Arabidopsis thaliana: one gene and its partners. The protein of the gene in region 3 purifies or fractionates together with the protein of the main gene of each other region. This does not show direct contact. Each region holds a gene or a part of one and is shown on either strand. Other genes may lie near its edges.

Region 1 (6,652 bases), on a different chromosome or scaffold from region 3:
GTCTGATGAGGATAACAGGATTAATCGGTCAAGATCAAAAAACTTGGAAGCAGCAGAGAATCACACTGAAGCTGAACAAACTGAAGATTTTGATCCACAGATTTTCTTAAGAAATCAACCAGAATTAGCTGATGTGGTATTCAATTATTTCCCGGATATGCAGCAGCCTAGGGACTCTCCGAAAAGGAAGGCGGTAACCCTTGTTCTTGATTTGGATGGTATGATATGAACCACTTGGTTAAGTTTTGCCTCCATGGTACAACCACACTTACTAATCATCTTTAAATGACATTGCAGAAACTCTGGTCCATTCGACTCTGGAAGTCTGTAGAGATACAGACTTTTCCTTCAGAGTCACTTTCAATATGCAAGAGAACACTGTTTACGTGAAACAAAGACCATACCTTTATAGGTTCTTAGAGAGGGTGGTTGAACTTTTTCATGTTGTCATCTTCACGGCTAGTCACAGCATCTATGCGTCTCAGCTTCTAGATATATTGGATCCAGATGGGAAGTTTGTATCGCAACGTTTTTACCGGGATTCATGCATTCTTTCAGATGGTATTTATACCAAGGATTTAACCGTTTTGGGTCTTGATCTAGCAAAAGTGGCTATAGTTGACAACTGTCCACAGGTATTTTCTAAAGGATTCACTTCACTACCTTTGTTTCATTAATTTTTGCTTTTACCTTAGTCTCAGTGATAGACACCACAAGCAAATCGAATTTCAAAGAACGATAGTTACAGTGCAGAATTTGTAGTTTAGTTGAGTATTACATGGACCCTCATTGTTCTTGTTTCAGGTGTACAGATTGCAAATAAACAATGGGATCCCTATTAAAAGTTGGTATGATGATCCAACTGATGATGGTCTGATTACATTACTTCCCTTCTTAGAGACATTGGCTGATGCCAACGATGTTCGTCCTGTCATTGCCAAGAGATTCGGTAACAAGGAATAAGAAATCTCTTCCTTTTGTTTCCACTATATCTTGATTGCAGATTCTGGGTTTCTTTAACAGATTTAGTCATAGACTAGTTTAGTTCCTCAAGACTTCTTAGGTGCTATTTAATTAGTGAACCATAGAATAATGCTCGGTGATATTAGTACACAAGTAAAGCGTAACCCTTGTTTTAGCCAGGATAATAGATCATTGAAATCTTAAGTGTTCTAAATGTACAGTTGGTGAAGCTGAGATACTGAATGTATAAAAGTGAGTAACTATTGAGTGAAATATCAGTTTTGGAGGTTAACAACAGCCATTATCTCCTTGTGGTAAATTCAAACTGTTGGTTAGATCTTTGTACTACTGCATTGTCAGTAATATAAATGAAGAGAGGTTCAATCTGGAACCTTCTTTTTCGTGAATTTATCGAATTTTCTAGCTTCTGTGGTCTTTCATAAAGGAGGAATATCGTATATGGGCGCCCGGATCTGGTGGTTCTGTGGTATTATAATAAGCTATTTAATCTATAACTCTCAGTAAAAGTTTCATGATTCTGTTGGCATGGTCCTTATTGTGCAGATCATTCAACAAGAAGTTCTTTTGATTAGGCGTAAGGAAGTGACCTGACTATTGTTCTTCTCTGTGTTAACTTGACTCTTAAGGTTTTGTCTAAGGTCTTAAGCTCCCTGACAAACTTGCCAATATGTACATCTTTACAATGTTAACTTGTTTTCATTAACATTTGATAGTCATATATTCTTGTTACTAGTTAATAAACCTGTCAGAAGAATCATATTTTCTAACATTGGTTCTTATGAACCAAGAAAGTCATTGATTTCTTACATAACATCAGTCGTTTAGATGCTTTGGAGATTGCTTTTGGTAACTCTCGACTAAACATAGTTTCAAATTTGGCTCAAAAGAAACTTTGTTTTTTTTTCAGAAGTATGAGGACATTATCAAAGTTGAAAGTTTTGACCAAAATATGTTGAAATTTTGAAGGTCTATTAAATTTGAGAAAGACATTAGCCATTTCTTCAATAGATTCAGAGTAACAAAAAAATACTTATTCCATGGAACTTTTTTATTCACAAAAATAAAGCAATTTAAGAAAAGGGAAAAAAAATGAAAGTGAATCGGTGGTGGTCACCGAACAAGCTGTACGTGTGGGAGAGAATGCAAACAGAGTAGCAAAAAAAAAGCATTGAAGGAAGCAAAACAAAACATGAAAAGAAGAATCTTGAGGTAAAAACGAATCCCAAATATCAAAAAGGAAACTTTTTTTACTTCTTTCTTTCTCTTGCTGCAAATGATACAGAATCAGCTTCTTCTTCTTCTTCTTCTGGTCGAAACTCACTCCACACTTTCCCCTAAGCTATGGGATTCGAGAGTTCAAGCTCAGCTGCAAGCAACATGAAACCTCAACCTCAAAAATCCAACACTGCTCAATACTCTGTTGATGCTGCTCTCTTTGCTGATTTCGCTCAATCCATTTACACCGGCAAGTCTTTTAACTACTCCAAATCTGTTATTTCACCTCCCAATCACGTTCCTGATGAACACATCACAGCTTACTTGTCTAACATCCAAAGAGGCGGTCTAGTTCAGCCCTTTGGTTGTTTGATTGCTGTCGAAGAACCTAGTTTTAGGATACTTGGTCTTAGTGACAACTCTTCTGACTTTCTTGGTTTGTTGTCTCTTCCTTCCACCTCCCATTCTGGTGAGTTTGATAAAGTCAAGGGTTTGATTGGAATCGATGCAAGGACGCTTTTTACTCCTTCCTCTGGAGCTTCTTTGTCTAAAGCTGCTTCCTTTACTGAGATTTCCTTGTTGAATCCTGTTTTGGTCCATTCTAGGACGACCCAGAAGCCTTTTTATGCTATTCTTCACAGGATTGATGCAGGGATTGTCATGGATTTGGAGCCTGCTAAATCAGGTGATCCGGCTTTGACCCTTGCAGGCGCAGTTCAGTCTCAGAAGCTAGCCGTTAGGGCCATTTCTAGGCTGCAGTCACTTCCCGGAGGAGATATTGGTGCCTTGTGTGATACTGTTGTGGAAGATGTTCAGAGACTTACCGGTTATGACCGTGTTATGGTCTATCAGTTTCATGAAGATGATCATGGTGAAGTTGTTTCTGAGATTAGAAGGTCTGATTTGGAGCCTTATTTGGGTTTACATTATCCGGCAACAGATATTCCTCAGGCTGCTCGGTTCTTGTTCAAACAGAACCGTGTCCGAATGATTTGTGACTGCAATGCAACTCCGGTTAAGGTTGTTCAGAGTGAGGAACTCAAGAGACCACTTTGTTTAGTTAATTCTACTCTAAGAGCTCCTCATGGCTGCCATACGCAGTATATGGCGAATATGGGCTCTGTAGCTTCTCTTGCACTCGCAATTGTAGTAAAAGGCAAAGATTCGAGCAAGCTTTGGGGATTAGTTGTTGGTCATCATTGTTCTCCTAGATACGTTCCATTCCCGTTGCGGTATGCTTGTGAGTTTCTGATGCAAGCATTTGGGCTTCAGCTTCAAATGGAACTTCAGTTAGCATCACAGTTAGCCGAGAAGAAGGCTATGCGGACGCAGACCTTGTTGTGCGATATGCTTCTCCGTGATACTGTTTCCGCTATTGTTACACAATCTCCGGGTATTATGGACCTTGTGAAATGTGATGGAGCTGCGTTATATTACAAGGGGAAATGTTGGTTGGTTGGTGTTACTCCTAATGAGTCACAAGTTAAAGACTTGGTGAATTGGCTGGTGGAGAATCACGGTGATGATTCGACGGGTTTAACCACTGATAGTTTGGTGGATGCGGGATACCCTGGTGCCATCTCACTTGGAGATGCCGTTTGTGGTGTGGCTGCCGCAGGATTTTCTTCAAAAGATTACTTACTTTGGTTCAGGTCCAATACTGCAAGTGCAATCAAATGGGGAGGAGCTAAACATCATCCAAAGGATAAAGATGATGCCGGAAGAATGCATCCGAGGTCATCGTTTACAGCCTTTCTTGAAGTTGCGAAGAGCAGGAGCTTGCCGTGGGAAATCTCAGAAATTGATGCTATCCATTCCCTGAGACTTATAATGAGAGAGTCATTTACCAGCTCTAGGCCAGTTTTGTCTGGTAATGGCGTAGCAAGAGATGCTAATGAGCTTACTTCTTTTGTGTGTGAAATGGTTAGGGTGATTGAAACCGCAACTGCACCTATTTTTGGGGTTGATTCATCCGGATGTATTAATGGTTGGAACAAGAAAACCGCTGAAATGACGGGATTACTAGCTAGTGAAGCAATGGGGAAGTCACTTGCCGATGAGATTGTTCAAGAGGAATCACGCGCAGCTCTTGAAAGTCTCTTGTGCAAAGCCCTACAAGGTTATATGAAAGAAGATTTTCTCCATACAAATTTCATGTTATGAGCTTTATCAACTAACAAAACAATGATATGTTGTGTTGTAACATTGATATGTTGTGTTGTTCAGGTGAAGAGGAGAAAAGTGTAATGCTGAAACTGAGAAAGTTTGGTCAAAACAATCATCCGGATTATTCTTCTGATGTGTGTGTTCTCGTTAACTCCTGCACGAGTCGGGATTATACTGAAAATATCATCGGTGTCTGCTTCGTTGGTCAAGACATCACTAGTGAGAAAGCAATAACAGATAGATTCATCAGATTGCAAGGAGATTACAAGACTATTGTTCAAAGCTTAAATCCTTTGATTCCACCGATATTTGCTTCAGATGAAAATGCTTGTTGTTCTGAGTGGAACGCAGCAATGGAAAAGCTTACGGGATGGTCAAAACACGAGGTGATTGGGAAAATGCTACCCGGTGAAGTCTTTGGAGTCTTTTGTAAAGTGAAATGCCAAGATTCGCTCACAAAGTTCTTGATCTCTCTGTACCAAGGAATTGCTGGTGATAATGTTCCCGAGAGTTCACTGGTTGAGTTCTTTAATAAGGAAGGGAAGTACATAGAAGCATCCTTAACCGCGAACAAGAGTACAAACATCGAAGGAAAAGTTATAAGATGTTTCTTCTTCTTGCAGATTATCAATAAGGAATCGGGGTTGAGCTGCCCAGAACTGAAAGAGAGCGCTCAAAGCCTCAACGAATTAACTTACGTAAGACAAGAAATCAAGAATCCTCTCAACGGTATCCGATTTGCACATAAGCTTCTTGAATCCTCAGAGATTTCAGCTAGCCAAAGGCAGTTTCTGGAGACTAGTGATGCTTGTGAGAAGCAAATCACGACAATAATCGAAAGCACGGACTTGAAAAGCATTGAGGAAGGGTAAAGCATAACGTTTTGAATCTTCACCTACTGAAGTTTTTACATTTTGAATCTGAAAAACAAATGTTTTCTTTTATGAGATCAGCAAGTTGCAATTGGAAACAGAAGAGTTTCGACTTGAAAACATCTTGGACACAATCATTAGCCAAGTGATGATTATATTGAGAGAGAGGAACTCACAACTAAGGGTTGAAGTCGCCGAGGAGATCAAAACTCTGCCTCTCAATGGTGACAGAGTCAAGCTCCAGCTTATTCTTGCTGATCTTCTACGCAACATTGTGAATCATGCGCCGTTTCCAAATAGTTGGGTAGGTATCAGTATCTCACCAGGGCAGGAGCTTTCACGTGACAATGGTCGCTATATCCATCTACAGTTCAGGTAAACGTCAACAGAAACAACTGAAAACAACTTCTTTTCACAATGCAGCCGTTTTGCAGATTTTGATGGTTTTTAACTTAAAACGTTCGATGTTGTTTTATGATAGGATGATACATCCGGGGAAAGGACTTCCTTCAGAGATGCTAAGTGATATGTTTGAGACTCGAGATGGATGGGTCACCCCTGATGGTTTAGGGCTTAAGCTTTCGCGGAAACTATTGGAGCAGATGAATGGCCGTGTGAGTTATGTCCGAGAAGACGAACGGTGTTTCTTTCAGGTGGATCTTCAAGTGAAGACAATGTTAGGTGTTGAGTCAAGAGGAACAGAGGGTAGTTCAAGCATAAAGTAGAAATTTTGAGTTACAAGGCTTATAAAATTTAATGAAATTTGGTCTCTTACCAAATGTATTAATTAGAACAAAGGTACATTATTTATTACCACCAATAAGATTGTATCTTAACTATCCTATGTATACAATTTGGAGAGATCATTTGGCCAACCAGACAAAAGTAAAACACAACCATCAATTCACATGTCTAGAACAATAATTCTTTCTAATTCTGGATACCAGCAAACTAGAAGGAACTGAGAAAACCAGAAATGTTTCTAAAGGGTACTATGTAGTAGTTTGTTGTTGTTCATCATCATCTCATCCTAGAAACTGATATTTACGTTTTAAACCAGAGGCAATAACGTGATTCACTTGACTGTCAGCTTTGATGTGTGTTCTCGCCGACAAGAGGATGAGAAACCGTTGAATTTGATGCCTCGAGCTGCGAATTCTCCCGGATGATCTAGTTTCAAATAGACATGTATGAGTCAACCAGTTCATCAGATAAACACAGAAAAGATAAATGATCATTTTAAGATCATGTGTTTGTTGTAAGAGATTGTTTACCGGATATTTAGATTCTGATCCATCAAAGACAATAGGTTGGCATCTCCTATCTTCATTCATCAAACTTGAGTTCTGAAAGTGAGCAATAAGCGCAGCTTTACCTTGGATTCGTGCATAAGCCAATGAAGCAACTTTCTCGCT
Region 2 (7,575 bases), on a different chromosome or scaffold from region 3:
CAGAGTCTTTTATGCTAAACAAAATAGTTTTAAAGATCTTTCACTCACCCGCCTGTTGCTTCTGATCCACGGGTTTGACCTGAACCGCAGAGGAAACAGCGTGAACATTAGTGAACCCTGGAGGCCCAAGCTGATGTTGTTGAGTTTTACCCATACCACCACCTCCTTTCATGTTATTCGCTGCAGATGCAGCCGCTATGGCTTTCGCTGGATCTGAAGTGGCGGTGACAGCTCCCGTGACTGGAACAGCAGGTGCTGAACCTGACTGTTGCTGGTGTCTTTGGATGTAATACCCACCAGAAGGAGATATGGTGATCTGTTGCTGTTGATGTTGATGTTGAGCTTGCATATAAGGATTAGAGAAGAATAGCTGTGCTTGCGGCTGCAGCCCATGCTTTGGCAACTGCTGCTGTTGTTGCGACTTGGATCCAGAGCTCGTGGTCGGGTTTCCGAGAACAGAAGGACCATTATTCCTTCCACCAGCAGATGACGCCGCAGATGCAGGCTGTAAGTTCTTGGACGGCTGAGATGCTGAGTGAGTAGTTGTGGAAGCTTGTCCACCTTTGTTTGCCGCCGAGGAAGCAGAAGCAGTTGTTCTTGGGCTTCCGCTGGCATTTTTGGAGACAGACGACGTCGAAGGCGACCCAACTAACATTGGTGGAGACGGAGCCTGGTGGTTGGTTCCTCCTTGTACCTGCTGCATTGGTGAACCAGAAGTCATTGGTTTTGAGTTTGCTGCAAAAGATATCTGCGATTGCTGGGGACGGCTTTGCTGTTTATGCGGGATGTTTCTTAGCGAAGATGCAGCAGCAACTGATGTTGATGGCGACAACATCGAAGGAGACTGAGCTTGGGTAGTATTTGTTGTCCTGGGTGAATTGTTTTTCCACTGCTGAGACTGAACCTGATTGCTACTCGACTGGACAAGGTTTTGAGGGAACCCTGAATTAGCATTTGCAAACTTGGTGGTTCCCGCAGGTGATGTGGTCATATTGTGATCAGGGAAACCACTCCCGTTACTCACCACGGGCCCTTTGGTTCTGGCAGCAGAAGCAGCCACTGAAGTTGCATACCGTTGCTGCTTCTGGAGGTACATGGTGGTATAAGGTTGCTGCGATTGACTCCGTTGCATATGCTGTTGCTGCTGTTGTTGTAGTAGTTGTTGATGATGAGACGTGGGTAAAGAACCCGAACTCTGTGGCAGAGCAGAACCAAGGTTGAGTAAACGGGATGAGCTATCAACGATGCTACCACTCGTGACAGCAGAAACAGATGCATCAGCTAAATCCTGTTTGTTAGAGAAAGCAATAGACTGCCCACCATTCCCACCACTCGTTTTCCCTATTGCCCCTCCTCCTGACTTCCTTTGTTCCTCAGGGGTATTATTAGCAGTAGCAGCACCACCAATAGACCCAGATTTTCCATCTTCTAGTGAAGCACCGTAGTTCATTTTTTGTTGAGCTGCTTGAGCAGCCATCATCTGATAACCTTGCCTTGCTGCTTCGGGCATGCTGTGGAACATAGCGTGATTCTGAGCAATTGATGACATGTTTAGGGTAGGAGCAGTGTTAGCCCCATTGAACGTCGCAAAAGTCATAGCATAACCCGGTGACTGGAAGGATTCTACACCAGCCTTTGAAACCTGCTGCTGTGATTTCTTTTCACCATGACTGCTCGAAGATCCAACCACCCCACCACCAGGGGCAGGGGAACTCATCAAACCCAAGTTAGTTGGTTGCATTTGCATACCATAGTTCTGGCCATAGGCAACATTGGAACGAGAACCCCGGCTATCAGCAGTTGATGGGCTATCTTCCCCTACAGTCTCACTATGTTGAGTAGCATTTTCTCTGGGTTGCTGCCTCTGCTGAAAATTCAAAGGCTGCGATTGCACTTTATGAGTTGGAAATCCTTGAGAGTTCCCATGATTAATCGGTGGCCTCAACTGTTGGTTCTGCAGATGCTTTTGAGCTGCTGAGGAACCAGTGGAAGCACTCCCATTCTGGTTGTTAGGAGCATGGCTCTGGAGCATTTGACCAGTTAGCTGCTGCTGATGCTGCTTTTGTGGCTGATGATGTGGAGGCTGGATCATTTGGGAGGAATAGAATGAACCATTAAAAAATGGCATCGGCTGCCCAGGAGCACCTCTATAAGCAGGTTGTGCACCAACATGTGCTGGAACTGGAAATGGATAGCCGTTATTCTGCAAAATGGCCAGGTACTGCGTTTCATTTCCCGGCATGGCAGGATAACTGAAGCTCATTGTTGGGGCACCAGCTGGAGTAGCTGATGCAGAACCATTCATGGAGGTAGAAGTAGCTGTTGGTCCAGAAGATGTGATGCCACTATTAGGAGGTCTGACAGATGCGGCAGCTATTGTAGCGGCAGCGTGAGGCTGTTGGCCCAAGGGGAATATGAATGTCGGACCATGCTACAATGAAAGTAAAAAAACAATCAGCTTATAAGAAGGACGACAAAACCTGATGAGAAACATGATACATGGACTAAAAAAACTAACCAAGATGCTATTAGCTGCTCCTGGAGGCAAAGCTTGTTGAAGCATTAATTGATTTCTTTGAGCTGTCTCTGAGCTTTTGGACGTAGATTGAGAATTCTTATCTTGAACAGGGTTGGAACTTCTTCCCAAAACACTCCCCTGAAGTTCTGTGGGAGGCATAAGACTGAGATTGCAGGCCTTGGTCCCATACATTGGAGCTGAGCCTGCTGCTGCAGGCCAGAAAGGATTCATCTTTGTGAATTGCTGATGAGATTGAATATTCCGAGCAATGTAGCAGTGTGTAGCACATCGCTTCGGCCTTGGTTGATTAAAAAGTAAATGAGGTGGAGGCTGCACAAGACCAAAATTTAAATCAGTAAAGGCAAAAAAATATAAAGAGAAATATTAGAATGGCACATCCAATCAAAATTACCTGCATTGCTGCAGCTGATAAGGAACTGGTATCCGTAGGCACAACTCCTTGTGTAGGTGCCATGTATCTGTTTAATCACAGAGTTTTACATTAGTACAACCAAAAAATAAAAAGGAGACTTAGGAAAAGTATCACATGCTTAAATTACAAAGAAAACATACCCCATTGTAGGAAGGCCCCCAGGCCAGCCAGGCATAGACATATGCAGAGGCAAATGGCTAGCTTGAGCTGGAATTTTTTAAAAAGAGGCCCAGTTAATTCAGTATACAAAAAACGAAACTAGTCCAGTCAGAGTAAGAAGAATGAATCTCAAGAAAGATGAAAAAGGCCTACCAGTTTTATCAGGAACAGATAGTTGCTGTTGCGGTGGCGGTTTCTGAACATGATGCTTGTTTACTAAACCCACATGATCAGATTTATCCAAGTCGAGTTTGAGTTCACAATTCCTCTCAAACTTATGGTGTTCAGCTTCAGCAACCATTCTAGGTCTCTTCTTCTCCTGAGAATCATGAATCGCCGGATCACTTCTATCTTCCTTAAGCAGAGGCTTTGCTTCCTGCTACATGCATTAGTGTGGACACAGGAGAGAATTAAAAAAAAGAGGGAGCCAAAAAGATGAAGATAAGAAAAAGAGAGCCAAAAAAAGCAAAAATGAAAAAGTAATGATGGATATCCCCAATTATCACAATATTACCAAACAAAAGTAGGCCCCACTCACCGTTTCCACTTCCGTGACTTTAGGTTTAGCTTCTGCCGCCACACATTCCATCATCTCTCCGCCTCTCTCCGACGACGATCTCACCGGCGGTGGCGCCTGAACCGACGGACAATTAATTTAGTACGGAACTTCAAAAAAAAAGGAAAATAAAATAAAATATATATGTTATTGACACTTACCATCAGATCTATCTCAAACTTCTCTTTTTCCGGCGAACTCCTGCATGATTAAAAACAAAAAACATTCAGTACCAAAACTTGGGTAAAAAATCCAGAAAAAATGAATGTATAGATTGAATGCTTACGATTTAGCTCCTTCACCATCGGATCTAAATCCTGAAGAAGATTCCACTTTCGGCAATATTGTTTCGTCTTTTGACAGATTGTTCTCTTTTTTCTCCGAATCTAACGAAGCGTTGCTTTCTCTCGTCAGTGGTATGATAGAATCCAATACGGAGCTGTTTCCTTCGCCGGATCCTGAGCTCTTTAGTTGATTACTGAACGGAACTTGACTTTTTGAAGGAGCTTCGGCTTCGGATTTGATTGTAGTGACGCGTGAACTGTTATCGTCTTCGTACTTGACATGTCTCGGCTTCTTTCTCTTAGGAGCTGAAGCGAAAATGGTAAAACAAAGTGAGCAAAAAAGAAAAAAAAAAACAAAAATAGTCGTTCCGATTTGTGAATGGAGAGAGGATGTTACCGATGGCTGAAACATTAGAGGAGCTAGAATTTGCAGCTAGTGTGATAGATGATTGAGGAAGAGTCTGAGGATTTGAGATCGGTGAAGAGACTCGAGATTTGACTTCTACAGTTGATTTCGCTGCCTCCGTCAAATCGTTACCGGCTGCTTCTTGTTTTGATGTGGAAGGCATCCTCATCATACCATACAACACTTCTGCAATCTCGATCTCGATCTCGTCTTGTACAGCCACTGGCGATGATAACTTACTCGATGATGACTTCGGCGGTAACGGCTTCTGTTTCGTCCCCGACGGCTAGAAGCAAAAATATATTAGTCAAAGAAGAAGATGGAGATGGAGAGATTTGAGTGTAAATTTTGAGAGACTAACCAATTTTTTCCTGACGGAAATGCTTGATGAAGAAGGAGACGTAGGAGCAGGAGGAGACGGAGATGCTAAAATCGAAGCCGGACTAACTCTATTAGCTGGAGACGTTGATGATATTTGCCGATGGATTTGTTCACCGGAAGCAAAAACACCACCTCCGGTAGTACTTGACGCCCATGATTCATGAGGTCTCTTCGTACACGCTGCAAAAATCGAAGAAGAGATTAGAAGAACTGTGAATCGAGATAGATCAGCGAGAGATATGTTTACAAATGTAAATTTCCACCTCTCTACCTGACCGAGCTTTTCTAGGAACCGAAACACCGATCATCTCGTCGGCGGCTTTCCACGTCGAGACAAGAGGTGATACCGGCGCCGGAGAAGGAGACGATCTGAAAACTTTCGTCGGCGGAAAATTATTCTTCCTCTGATGGTTATTGTTGTGGCTGTGATGGTGGTGATGGAGATTACCGCTACCTCCGTTGTGATGATTTGATAGAGACGATGAAAACGATGCAGCTGAGATATTATTGCTCGTCGGAGGAAGCATCTTCAACGAAGAAGGTGGTCCTACACCTCCGTCGTCATATTCTTCATCGTCGTTGACACTCTCTTCCGAGCTATCGTCGCCACCGTCGTCTAGATTACCGTGAACCATCATTAAGCGTTCTCCTCTCCGCCGTTTACTCCGGCTATTTAACCGATCTCTCTCCCTATCTCTTTCTCTTTCCCTCTCTCTGTCTCTATCACGTTCCCGATCTCGATCCTTCTTATTACTCCCTCCTCGATCTCTCAACCTCGCCGCCTCCGGTAACTCCACCGGACCTTCCTCCTCTGTGAAAAAAACGTTCAGAAAAATCAGAACCAAACGTTTTCTCTCAGATCTGATGAAAAACAAACCAAATCAAGAGATTCAAAAACAAACCTGGTGAATCTCTGAAACTTCCGGCTCTATGTCTCCGCCGGGAAAGACCATTTCCGGCAGCCGCCATAGGTACTCTTCTAGCTTCTCTATTTCTATCCATCTTCTTCTTCTTCTTCTCTAATGCTTCTCCTCTCTATTTCTCTTCTCCCAAATCGCAACCCCTTTTTCTCTCTCTTTATCAAACTCTCTCTCCTCTATCTCTCTACTTGCTTCCCATTATCTCCTTTATTTGTGCTCCTCATAAAAGCAGAGTAGCGAATAAATCCACGGCTCATATCTCCTGCCGTAAAACATTTTCTCAATCTTCACCGTCGGTGTGAATACATCCAACGGTCACGATACGCTATATACCAGCGTGACAAAATCTTGGCCCTCCGTTATAAGAGATCTCGCATATAATAATAAATAACCGATATTTCTTCTTTTATTAATTATTTTACCACCGATTATTATTTTATTATTAAATTAAAAAACGTATTCTTTAATTATTTTATTAGTCAGCATCCGTAGGTAGGACCCACTCAAAAATGATATCTTATTGTTATGATATTTTAGTATTTGATAACATTTAATTTTTCGGTTTTAAAAGAATATTATTTTCGGAGTCGGATTCATGTGAAAAAATTATTTTGGACTGTTACCAGTTATTAAACAGAAGCTGCCACGTGTCAAGAGTTTGACATCACACGCTTCCGTCTATATTATCGCTACCAATATTTTATTGACTTTGCACTGTCTAGAAATAAACAAACAAATAAAAAAACAATAAAATATATTGAAAGTCGGAAAGATTAAGATAATAATATTTAAATCTAAAAATAATCATCAATAGTATATTGTGCAATAAAAAGGCTCCTGGGGTAGTGTACTGTTGTCCACTAATCGCGATGACTCGTGTGAAAAGAAAACAAAAATACTGACATATACACGCACAAATATGATGTTATTTTAATTATTAAAATTCAAAATGTGTCTTGAGAAGATGTATCACCGGCTATTACCGGTAGACAGAGACCTTGGTAAAGGCAATCTACGATCAGAATGGAATCTTTGTGACCACCTATACAAACCGATCCAACCGGTAATATTAATCACATCAGGTTCCACTTCTCTACCTTCATCTTTTTTTTTTTTACTTTTCTCCATTAAGATCAAATGGCTAAATAGTTTTTTACTTGCCACTAACTATTTTTTTTTCTTCAACTCATGGAAAATAAATATTCAAATATTTACTTTCCTTCTTATTGATTTATTTGATATTTCTTACGTGCATGCAATAAAAGCTGTTAAATTAAATTTACCTTTTCAAATATGCCAGGTTTGCAAAATTGATCTTTTAAATTCTTAGAATCTAATAATTAAAAATGAAAATATATGGAGAATAATATTGGAAGTATCTACCACATTTTTAATTACTAATTTATCAACATTCTTAATTTATAATGAAAAAATCTAAAAGAGAAATTAAATCTTGATAATTCCTAGGTTAGATTAGTCAAATTGACATAACTATAAATTTCTATAAAACTAATTAAATCTGGTCATATTTGGATATTTCTAAAATAGTAATAAACCATATAATATCCTTTAGATTTTTTTAATTCTATTAGGGAAGGTAAGCTAAACAATAAACCTATAAAGTAAGGAAACAGGTCCTACCATAGTCTAAAATAATTTAACTCATTAATTACAAATCAACGGCCAATACCATTTGTTGCCAATTAGCTAAATGCTCTCACAACCGTTAGATCGTTTTATATTATATTAGTATTTTATTTTCTTCTATTTTTGGTTTTTAAACAATCTGACTTGGCAGAAGAAAACATCATCCAAAAAAAAAACATAAAATAAAATAAAAACTAAAAAAGGCGTTGAGTTGGCACCCGACCCGTTGATCTGAACCGTTCGATTTAGAAAAGATTAAACGGCTGAGATG
Region 3 (2,698 bases):
ATGATTTCCTGCGGTAATTATCTTTATCACTCTAAATCATCAAAGCCAACCCTTAACAGATCAATAAGTCTACTAAAAGAGAAATTACAAGTTTTTTTGAAGGAAGAATCAAACACATTCCACATAACATATAATATGCAGTTGTCTATCGTAAATGTTTTACCTTGACAATGGTTTTCGCAAGTAACGCATAATGGTCGAGAAACATTACATTTGCGACGAATTTGAACCTTATTCCCATATATCTCGAGAAGGTGACATTGCTTCATTTATGGGTATTCACCAAATAAGCATTCAATATGAATGGTAGTAATAAAGATTACCACTCGTACTTCTATGAACTTGGATTCAAGTTAGAGCCATTGTGAGTCCACTTCTGAATCTTTCCACTTACCAACCCATTTAGATGTTGCAGAATTACCATTTCTATTGGTTTTCCTATCTGCTTCTTTATCTTTGAGAAGCCAGCTTAAGTTTTAGCGCATTTAGCTCTTATTGCAAGATTGCATTGTGTCATAAAAGGTCGTTCTAAGTAAAATCTGGCACATGTTTTTCCAGTTAGTGGATTCATTTGTGAAACAGTTTGGAAAATGTTGCGGTTAAGAACTGTATTGCCAAAAATAAATTAAATGTTTTTCATCATTACTCATTGGTGACTGAAATGAATTGAGGTCCCTATACTCTTATTGCTTCTCAGCATCGAGTTGTTTGTGCATCACCATTGTCATGACTCATGATTTTTAGAATCATTTATGCAATTCATCATCTTAATCATTATCATTATAGGATGATTGTATCATATATAACAGTCGAAAGGGAAGGGCCAAAAAAAGTGAAATAAAGTTTTGTTCTTTGTAATGGAAGAAAAAGTTGGGAGGAGAATCATGGTTTCACTATGGTTCTTTGGAATTTTGATTTTGGTAGTTAGTGCCCAGGTTCCGGGAACCAAATTCTGATCATACTACAAAAAAATATCTTGCGGATTATTGTAGCTCTTGTCTTGCATAACATGAAGCTTGGAATTAACTAAAGAAAGTTTCTTAGAGATTCTTCTTCTTGTTTGTTCTCTAAAGAATCTAACACTCTTTGTAATGTTTATCTAAACTTGGAACTAATTAGATGTGAAACACTACAATTCATTAAACATGAGATCATGCGTATAGGAATTTGGTTCCTGCTGCACCGTGGCAAGTCGTACACCATATACCTTTTTCCCTATTTTATTCATATTTTACTTTATATTCACTTTACAATAAATATCTTTAGATATTTCTACAATAAGATCCTTATCTCTCTCCATGGTTTAATTAAAAATAAATCCAAGAAAAGTGCATAAAAAGATATGTACTTTTTATTCCTCTACCCAATCACTTCACAGCTTCACTCACGCGCGTGTTCTTTGATATCAGATAGATACGTCTACGTGAGATACACGCTCTTGTTAATCAAGTGGTGATGAAACAGAACTTACTCGCCTCGGTGTCCGATTCTACTCAGAAGATATTTACTATAAATATCTGATTTCTCTCGACTTTGACGAAAATCAAAAAGAGAGAAAAACACAATTAAAAATTATTATGAAGAGGAACGGCGAGACGAAACGGCGGAGGAACGTGGCGGAGGAGGCAGAGCAGGGAGAGGATCCGGCGATGTGGGAGAATCTTGACCGGAATTTCAGACAAGTGCAATCAGTTTTAGACAGAAACAGATCACTGATTCAACAAGTCAACGACAATCACCAATCGAGAATGGCTGATAACATGTCGAAGAACGTTGCTTTGATTCAAGAACTCAACGGAAACATTTCCAAGGTTGTTAACATGTATTCTGATCTCAATACTAGTTTCTCGTCGGGCTTTCACGGTGGGAAGAACGGTCACGATGGTGGTGGTGCTGCCGGAACTAGAGCTTAATGAACCGGAATCAAATTGTTTCTTCTTAGTTGGACCGGCCGGTTTGAGAATTTTGAATCTGTCCGGTTCAAGCTATGATATAAAGTAAATGTTTAGTTTTTGTATTGCAATGATGATTGTCGTTAGAATAATCCGTGGGAGCAAACCCATCTCTATTGGGGTTATTTTAGTTATGGTTTTGAGTCTTTTTCAATGTGTCTCTACTGCAATCTCTCTAATGATTATAATAATAATTGATACAGTATTAGATTACTTCTGGTTTGATTCTATTTAGAGACTTTTCTCATGTGACCTTGATAATAAATGAAGGCTTGTGGTTAGATTGTTGCAACTTGGAGTAAGTAATTTCGTCACATAGTGATGCAATTTGGTATGACATGTTAAATACAGTTGTTTTCTAGTGACTTTTCACTAGGCTGTGTATTAGAGAACTCTAGCATAGAAAATTTCTACGTTGTGACAATATTCATTTCCATCAAAAAGCAAACAGAAACTGCAGTAAAATAAATGTTGATACATGAGATCATGATCTAAAACCCAGGCAAACTATTTCGGCATTCATATACCACTAGAAAGCAAAGATCTTAAGAAGACGAAAGAGCTTTTGCACAAAAAGGACTAAAAAGAAGCATAGTTATTTGAAAGGGGACAAATGGCCAATTTCATATCAAAACATGAACTATCAAACCTATAAGTTTTTTTTGGGATTAAAATGGCATATGAAGAGGTTTAAAGTGATTAGCTCTGCTGTGACTGAGTAAATTTATGATTTCACTACTTTTTCT

What was found. The genes of interacting proteins can lie anywhere in the genome.
Region 1: the proteins of ELF4 (region 3) and PHYE purify together in Arabidopsis thaliana (affinity purification with mass spectrometry, with the first as the bait; one study listed by BioGRID). This does not show direct contact.
Region 2: the proteins of ELF4 (region 3) and TIC purify together in Arabidopsis thaliana (affinity purification with mass spectrometry, with the first as the bait; one study listed by BioGRID). This does not show direct contact.

What each region holds. Positions count from the first base shown.
Region 1 is NC_003075.7:10,041,622-10,048,273, reverse strand, and holds PHYE (phytochrome E), read left to right. Parts: upstream 1-1,927; 5' UTR 1,928-2,325; coding exon 2,326-4,318; intron 4,319-4,425; coding exon 4,426-5,233; intron 5,234-5,318; coding exon 5,319-5,612; intron 5,613-5,718; coding exon 5,719-5,962; 3' UTR 5,963-6,137; downstream 6,138-6,652. Other genes in the region: SSP4b (SCP1-like small phosphatase 4b), read left to right, coding at 1-218, 298-635, 805-949, 1,528-1,556. UniProt on the Arabidopsis thaliana protein: Regulatory photoreceptor which exists in two forms that are reversibly interconvertible by light: the Pr form that absorbs maximally in the red region of the spectrum and the Pfr form that absorbs maximally in the far-red region.
Region 2 is NC_003074.8:7,911,345-7,918,919, reverse strand, and holds the start of TIC (time for coffee), read right to left. Parts: upstream 6,016-7,575; 5' UTR 5,740-6,015; coding exon 5,640-5,739; intron 5,549-5,639; coding exon 5,009-5,548; intron 4,918-5,008; coding exon 4,718-4,917; intron 4,643-4,717; coding exon 4,348-4,642; intron 4,257-4,347; coding exon 3,953-4,256; intron 3,868-3,952; coding exon 3,828-3,867; intron 3,745-3,827; coding exon 3,649-3,744; intron 3,490-3,648; coding exon of another isoform or gene 3,487-3,489; coding exon 3,264-3,486; intron 3,159-3,263; coding exon 3,092-3,158; intron 2,998-3,091; coding exon 2,931-2,997; intron 2,849-2,930; coding exon 2,519-2,848; intron 2,432-2,518; coding exon 49-2,431; coding exon of another isoform or gene 41-48; exon of another isoform or gene 1-40. UniProt on the Arabidopsis thaliana protein: Regulator of normal clock function. Acts in the mid to late night. Contributes to the amplitude of circadian clocks. May act on the transcriptional induction of LATE ELONGATED HYPOCOTYL (LHY).
Region 3 is NC_003071.7:16,733,760-16,736,457, reverse strand, and holds ELF4 (EARLY FLOWERING-like protein (DUF1313)), read left to right. Parts: upstream 1-1,545; 5' UTR 1,546-1,577; coding exon 1,578-1,913; 3' UTR 1,914-2,164; downstream 2,165-2,698. UniProt on the Arabidopsis thaliana protein: Component of the central CCA1/LHY-TOC1 feedback loop in the circadian clock that promotes clock accuracy and is required for sustained rhythms in the absence of daily light/dark cycles.